2 linked regions of the Oreochromis niloticus genome follow. The protein of the gene in region 1 purifies or fractionates together with the protein of each later gene. This does not show direct contact. Links are inferred from orthologs where the notes say so. Each region holds a gene or a part of one and is shown in the gene's direction. Other genes may lie near its edges.

Region 1 (3,754 bases):
ATTAGATGAGAGCAAATGTTTTATTTTCACTCGGCACTACAGACTGTAAAGAAAAAAATTACTTTTGTGGGTTACACTGAGCCATTTTTATGTTGTCTGATATTTGCCATGCTTGGTTTTGATTGAATACACTAAGTATTTTTTATTCATATAGACTCAAGACTCAAGAAGTTTATTGTCATTTCGTATGGTGTTACCCAGCCTGAAACGAAATACTGTTTCTCACCAGCTTCTACAGTGCAAAAAGCAATACAGTTTAAAAAAGAATAAATACAGTTTAAAAATAATAAATACAGTTTTAAAAGAATAAGTTTAAAAAGAGCAGTAAAAGAGGCAGTAATGAATTGCAACAATAGTTATGGATAAATAAATAACATAAAATCTAAGTTCTAAAACAAACTCAAGTCACATTCGCTCGGGTATATAGCAGCAGTCCTTTCACGGGAGCGGATAGTTACATTAGGTAGTGTTTGTATCTGAGGAGTGTATTGTATGTGTGTGTGTGTGTGTGTGTGTGTGTGTGTGTGTAGATGGGGGCAACACAGTCCCGCTTGTTGATCTTACAGTGTAGCTGTGTGAATGGCTGTGTGGGTGGGGAGGGGGCACAGTCCATTTGTCAGTCTCACAGCTTATGCAAAGAACCCTTCCAGCATCTCTGTCTATCTATCTATCTATCTAGATAGATAGATAGATAGATAGATGTACTTTATAATATGCAACTTCTTTTTTGCATATTACTGTTTTTAGATTTTTACTTTTTAATTTTTGACCTTCTTATGTATTTATTGAGGTTGTGTTTGACATGTTTGACTGTTTTTGCAGCAATTTCACAATTTTGGGGATTTAATCATCTGATGATTCGCGTATTAGATTTGGCGAAGATTTTTCCCTGGATGCCCTTCCGGGTACTCCACTCATCCAGGCTTGGGACAGCTGTTACTCCGTGGGTGTACGTTAGGTGGCGATATGCCACTCATCGCGTTGGTTTGCGACACGGAAAAAGAATAAGAAAAAGAAACGGTAGTCTTTTCAGCCACAACCCTCTTTTGACCAAAATAGAGCAGCAGACATCAAATAGTTAGAAATGGCTGCCACCGGAGTTCTTCCCTTTATACGGGGGGTAGACCTCAGTGGAAACGACTTTAAAGTAAGTATTTTTAAACAGCATTCACTGATTTTCACACTGTCCGATGTTTAGTAAATACGACGTTAGAGTAGCTGGAGCGACTTCAGTCATTCTCAGAGCAACAAACGGCAGGGCTAGCTATAAACTAGCTTAGCTTAACGTTACTAGCATTGGGCGTTAGCCAGTTGTCAGAGTGACACAGTCTGCTCAGCCACCACCGCCCAGTTTGGTGGTTAACACAGTTCTTATTTGACGTGTGGGTTTGCGAACTGTATATATTTTTAGCTCGTCAGCTAGCGTTAATATTATTTTTGTGAAGTTGTTGATGAGCTAGGTCTTATATTCACAGTCATGTTAGCTGAGTAATCTAGCCACACTTATGGCTAACTAAATGTCTGTCACAGAAGCTCGAGCTCCGTGTTGTAACTTGTCAGAAAGTGAAGTGGATAAACAGCGTCAGCTAACTAATAGAGCTTGCTGTTGCTTTTAGGTTGTGACACCCTTTTATGAGCTTATTTTCGGAGAGTGGAAAAAGCAGCCCGATTGACAGCTGCGATCACCTGGCATGTATTTGTCCTGACACAACTATTTACGTATCTCCGTCAAAGTATTGGAAATATGCTGCTTAAACAACTGAGTTATCTGTTAGTCAATCGGTGGCTTTTGATTGAAATCTGCCAGTACATGATGAGATCATTTCCTTATATTCTAACTGCTTTAGCATATGCAGCCCTAGCATTTCTCTTCCTGGATGTGTGCACTTTTCATCTGTTAAAAAAAATCAAGATTAATGCTATCCGCCCATTTGTGTGCAAATGTAGTGCTGTCACTATTTATGCAATCAAAACATTAAAGTGCAGTTCATTCCTATAATTGACAATGAAATTGTTAGAGTATCTTTGGGGGGAAGTTGTTTAAAAATGTAATCTTTCTCTGGTAGCACATCTAGAGTTTTATGTTTCAGTGTTTTGGTAAAAGCGGACAAATTCATCCCCCTCTGCACTATAACAAAGTAAGTTCTTGTATTACTGTTGTCAAAAGTCATGTATTTTTGTGTGGTCTCACTTAGGGTGGATACTTCCCAGAGCACGTTAAGTGTATGAGCAGCCTGCGATGGCTGAAACTGAACAGGACGGGACTGTGTTACCTACCAGAGGAGCTGGCCTCTCTGCAGAAGCTGGTGAGACATCCTGACTAACTAGGAGCATCTTCATACATGAAGTGATTTGTATGTGTGTGTATGTGCATCTACAATGCAATTTAAGTAAGAATTTTTTGTGAGTAGACCTCTTTGTAATGGCCACAGTCTTTTTGTTCTACATCTGTACTGTGCAGTTTTCCAAAGATAAAAGGATCAAGGAACTGTTTATTTTATCAAGTGAGATAGATTTTTGTGCAAGAAAATTATTTGTATAGGAGATGAGACATGGATCAAAGTTAAAATATTCATTTTGTCCTTGCTGGATTCACTTTGTATTTGTGGTCATATGAACAAGTTTAAACTGTTTGAAAACATAGAAGTGTTTAATCTGATACGAGCAGATAACTACAAGGGTGTAATCAGCACATGATTTACTTGTGAAACACATACCCTGTATCCTCATGACTTGTGAAGACCAAAGTATAGCAGTGACATGTGCCTGTGTGTATTTTCCCTTTTTAGGAGCACCTTTCAGTGAGTCACAACAGCCTGACCACTTTACATGGGGAACTGTCCAGCTTACCGAATCTACGGGTAACTAAAAAAAACCCAGAAAAACTACATGCCTTTTTAAAAATAAAAATGGAAATGATGTTCCACCCATACATTAAAAAACAGAGCTCCTGCCACATGATTGCCTCTTTCTTTCTACACCAGTGTGTAATCTAGTATTCTAAATTTTGTCTGCAGGCGGTGGTAGCCAGGGCCAACAATCTGAAAAATTCTGGAGTCCCGGATGACATCTTTCAGCTCGATGACCTCTCTGTGCTGGTACACAAATGTCTCTTAACTGTCTCACACTTTCAACACACCCTTAAATTTAACACTAACATTTTGAGCATGAGTCATTTGCTTCCAGTCTACTACTTTTGCTTTTTTTATTCACTTTGTCCTCCACCAGGACCTGAGCTACAATCAGCTGACAGAGATCCCCAGGGACCTGGAGAACAGCAAGAACATGCTGGTGCTCAATCTGAGCCACAACAGCATCGACTCCATCCCCAACCAGTTGTTCATCAACCTGACAGACCTGCTGTATCTGGACCTGAGTGACAACAAGCTGGACAGCCTGCCACCCCAGATGAGACGCCTGGTGCACCTGCAGACTCTGATTCTAAACAACAACCCGCTGATGCATGCCCAGTTGCGGTAAAAAAAAAGATTCAATATTGCATCATTTTTTGCCAGCCTCTGTTCAATTTACCAACCACCTTATACCTTTAAACAAACATCCAGAAAGGATGATTTTATTTTTTAAACATCCTTACTGATTTTAGTGCTTCTTCTTTTATTGTCCGAGCAGCCAGCTCCCAGCAATGGTGGCATTACAGACTCTGCACCTGAGGAACACCCAGAGAACACAGAGCAACATGCCCACCAGCCTGGAGGGACTAACACAATTAGCAGGTAACACCATAAACACACAC
Region 2 (3,754 bases), on another chromosome or scaffold:
AAAATCCCTTACAGGTGTTCAAGTTCTCTAAAAACACAAAGAGAGATAAACAGTACTTTGTTTGCATATATTCTTGGAGTTGTTGCTAATAAGACACTAGTTTTCTGCACTGTTCTCATGCATATATAAATATTAGGTCACTGCCCTTGTATAAGTTTTGTTTTGGGTTTTTTTTTTTGGCTCTGTCAGACTGCCATCTATATTTTTTTAAACAGGTGACTTCAGCATTTAAGTTAAACGGCATAAATGTTTGCATCCACATCATACATTTAGGAAAGTATGGAGTAACTCCATACAGCACTGCATTTTTACAAAATGCAGAACAAATCGTTATCCATTACTGCCCTCATGTGGACAAACTATGTAGCCGTGACAGCAGACTACAGTGCCCTTTGACCTTCCTAGGTAACCTCTGCAGCTTTGGTGGCACACCATATGCTATTAAATGGGCAACCAAGTTCATGGGAGTATTCGGTTTGTTCTATTAATTACATTCATACAATATAGCTGCACCAGCTGATGAATGACCTCTGTTTAGTTTCAAAGGTACATGAAGGTTACCAGCATGACCTCCTCAGTCATGCTGGTTACATGATTGCTGCAGAAGCACTAAAATATTATTAACCGATATGTTTGTTTGTTTTTATTAGCAACTTCTATGAATTAATGGAACTTACAGTTGAAGGATATCAGTAGAAATCCGATGAAGGGGTACACCGACTTTATTGGGTGGGTCTGGACCCCCGAGCCCCATCGATAAGGCCGACCTCTGACAAGGAAAAAAAGTAAATGCTGAAAATATAACATTGCATAAAAACGAAATAATAATAATGAGTAATAATAATAATAATAATAAGTACTGGATGGAATTTTTTGAATAAGATAATATTTTGGCAAAAATCTACATACAATATATTCCACACTACATTTTCAACTGCATTAAATTTAAACTGTACTTAAATATGGGCTAAAAGATAAAAGCTTTACAGATATCATATAATCATTTGTGAGCAAGCTTAACAAAGCCTGCTCATCAAAGCAAGAAACTGTCCAATACAAAGGGATATTTATATAGTAACAACAATATAAGATGGTTGATTTTTTTCTCGTTTAAAGAAAGAAATGTTTTTATCGCCTAAAATTATTATATGGTAATATAAAAACTAGAAGGTCTGCATCAGTTTGAAAAAAAAAAGTTACGATTCTGATTGCTCTTGCGGGACGTGAACGCAGCATCACACCCTAATTTTTTTTCCAACATCCGGGTCCTTTGGAACCAACCAGTGTGTGTGGAAACTGGGTAAGGAGGGCAGTGAGGAGCGGTGGAAAGGCGGACTGATGACAGCTGTCACTGCGGACAAAAACACTAACAATCTCTGAAGAGAACCCGAATGGCTCACCCCTGAAACTCCAGGAGACAAGGGATAACACCTCGACAGTATCGCGGGTTATTTAAAGGTGTCGCGAAGGTGAGGTATTGTTTTTGGGGGGCTGGGAAATATGACTGGAGGATCAGTGCCAGTATGCCCTGTCTGTCTCTGGAGAGTCCAGGTTAGCCCCACTAGCTATCCAAGCTAACTACCCAGCTAAACAAGTGAACTAGCTTTAGGTAGGTCTTCGGGACCTGGGGGGTGGGGGTCATTGCCGTGGGACGGACACGTCTAAATAGTTCTCGTTTTCTAGAGCGTTAGCTGGACTGAAAGCTCAATGAGAACCTAATAAGGGAACTTTTCAAATATGAATTCGGGAACGACGAAATGCTAGTTAGCACTCCCAGTTAGCTCAGCAAAAGAGCTAGCTAACAGTAGTTAACGCTGGTAGCTAATGCTAGGGAGCAACACATTGCCTCACTTCATTGCATTACTTTTGTTTTAACGCAGCCGTTATTTTAATTATTTTGCTTATATGACATGGTGTAGGGGATAATTCCAGCTTTGTTAGTGGGTGGTAACTTAACCCAGCTGATTAATGATGGCTGGCTAATCACCCTATTCTTTGTCAAGGATCAGAATTCCTTAAGTTGCCTGCGGCGTCTGTGACTAGTCCGTTTGACTCTTGGACCTACGCGGTTTAGCTCATCAAACGTCTGCATGGAGTGCTCATGTCTCACTTGGATCCTCTGACTCAGCCGGATCCTAAACTAGGCGTTTTCCCCCCCGCGTCTGTACCAGCCATCCACAGTGGGCTTTTGTCTAGTGATAATGTTAACTCTGATATTACTCTTGTGTCTATCAACGCATGTGGAATACCCATTACATCAACTTAAAATGCAAGCGTAATCAGTGGACAGGTATTGTTTGTAGATTTTTTTTTTTTTTTTAACTAATTGTGTTATTAATTCTGTACACTTTATCATGCTGTGTTTTGGATTGATATCTCCGGCTGATTTAAGTTACCAGAGCTCCTTCTATATGCATGTCACTTTAAAGCTGGTTCATGTCAGTCACAAGTGTTTATCCAAAGCCCTTGTGGATTCCATACAAGGGTCTGTTTTTGCAGGAGTGAAAATAAGAGATATGAAGTGTCTGAGTTGGGAGTGCAGAAAGCATACACAGTGAAACACAGCCAAAAGACATATGTCTAATTATTCTATCATTTGACTTTGTTTACTGACTTGTTGAAATTATTTTTATCTGCTTTTGTTCCTCCAGGAATTAACACACGTTTCCATTTCCTGGGCTTACACAGTATGAGTTCCAGTACTAACATGGGGACACAAGGCACTGGTAGAAAGCGTGCTCCTCTAAAAGATCGGTTCTCAGCAGAGGATGATGCGCTGAATAGCATTGCTCGTGAGGTAAGGTCATTCATCACTTACATTAATTTTGAAGCTTACTGCAATGAACCTGGGATGCTTTCTCCATAAAATGTTCCCTTTATGCAATCCTGAATCAATGCAAATCTGATTTTTAGTCAGCTCAAATGTTCTTGTTTATCCTTGTTGAGATAATGGGGGCTTCAAGTATAGACAGAGGACTGATTTGTCAATTTAAGGGTGGCTAACCTGGGCAGCAGAACCATCACTTTTTAAAACTACCAAGTAGTTTCTTAAGAGCATTATCAGTACTCATATGCTTGCCTAAGCAGCATTATGGTTTGTGAGAGCCCTTTTAAACTGAACATGTCGATTAAATCTTTTGCCTAAGCCTTATAATGTAAATGCATGTGTCTACTTACTTTTTGTAACCCTTATTGTATCGTTGCAATTACTTAAACCAATGAAAAAACTCAGGTCATCTTAATGATTTTTCAGCAATGTGTAACATTTCAAGAAGACAGAAGCATTTTTTTTTACTTTTATGTGAATTCAAACAAAAAGAATTAAAAATGTTAATTATCTTTTTGCCTGAGAGATTGTGGAAAGTATTTACCAATAGCTTTTACACCATTTGAAATTGAGCTAACAATTTTAGAGCCCAGGTTTAGAGTAACCTGGTTGATCTTACTAATGTTCCAATGTTGTCTTTTGAAAAACTGGTTGAAAGTTGAGACCAAAGGCTACTCAGCAGAACTTGTATGCGATCTGTCAGGTTTCAGACTAGGTTAGCTATCAGTTCAGTTTAACAGCACGTTGAATTAGAGAGGTGTACGAAGACTGCAGGGCGAGTGATGTTAATTTGAAGTGTGCGTTTCATTATCAAAAACCTTAATGTCTATATTTAGATATGGATGTTTGTGTTTTGCTGGTTAAGTTCTGTGTTTCACCCCAAGCAAGTGAAGACAGCTTGTTTGGAGTCCACAGAGGTTGACTTCA

What was found.
Region 2: the proteins of flii (region 1) and lrrfip2 purify together in Homo sapiens (affinity purification with mass spectrometry; 3 studies listed by BioGRID and IntAct, with this or other methods). This does not show direct contact. The link is inferred for Oreochromis niloticus from reciprocal best matches to the Homo sapiens genes FLII and LRRFIP2.

What each region holds. Positions count from the first base shown.
Region 1 is NC_031969.2:11,744,833-11,748,586, forward strand, and holds the start of flii (protein flightless-1 homolog), read left to right. Parts: upstream 1-990; 5' UTR 991-1,084; coding exon 1,085-1,147; intron 1,148-2,195; coding exon 2,196-2,306; intron 2,307-2,789; coding exon 2,790-2,861; intron 2,862-3,017; coding exon 3,018-3,098; intron 3,099-3,228; coding exon 3,229-3,476; intron 3,477-3,630; coding exon 3,631-3,734; intron 3,735-3,754. UniProt on the Homo sapiens protein: Is a regulator of actin polymerization, required for proper myofibril organization and regulation of the length of sarcomeric thin filaments. It also plays a role in the assembly of cardiomyocyte cell adhesion complexes.
Region 2 is NC_031978.2:25,203,125-25,206,878, forward strand, and holds the start of lrrfip2 (leucine-rich repeat flightless-interacting protein 2), read left to right. Parts: upstream 1-1,261; 5' UTR 1,262-1,469; intron 1,470-2,651; 5' UTR 2,652-2,689; coding exon 2,690-2,797; intron 2,798-3,754. UniProt on the Homo sapiens protein: May function as activator of the canonical Wnt signaling pathway, in association with DVL3, upstream of CTNNB1/beta-catenin.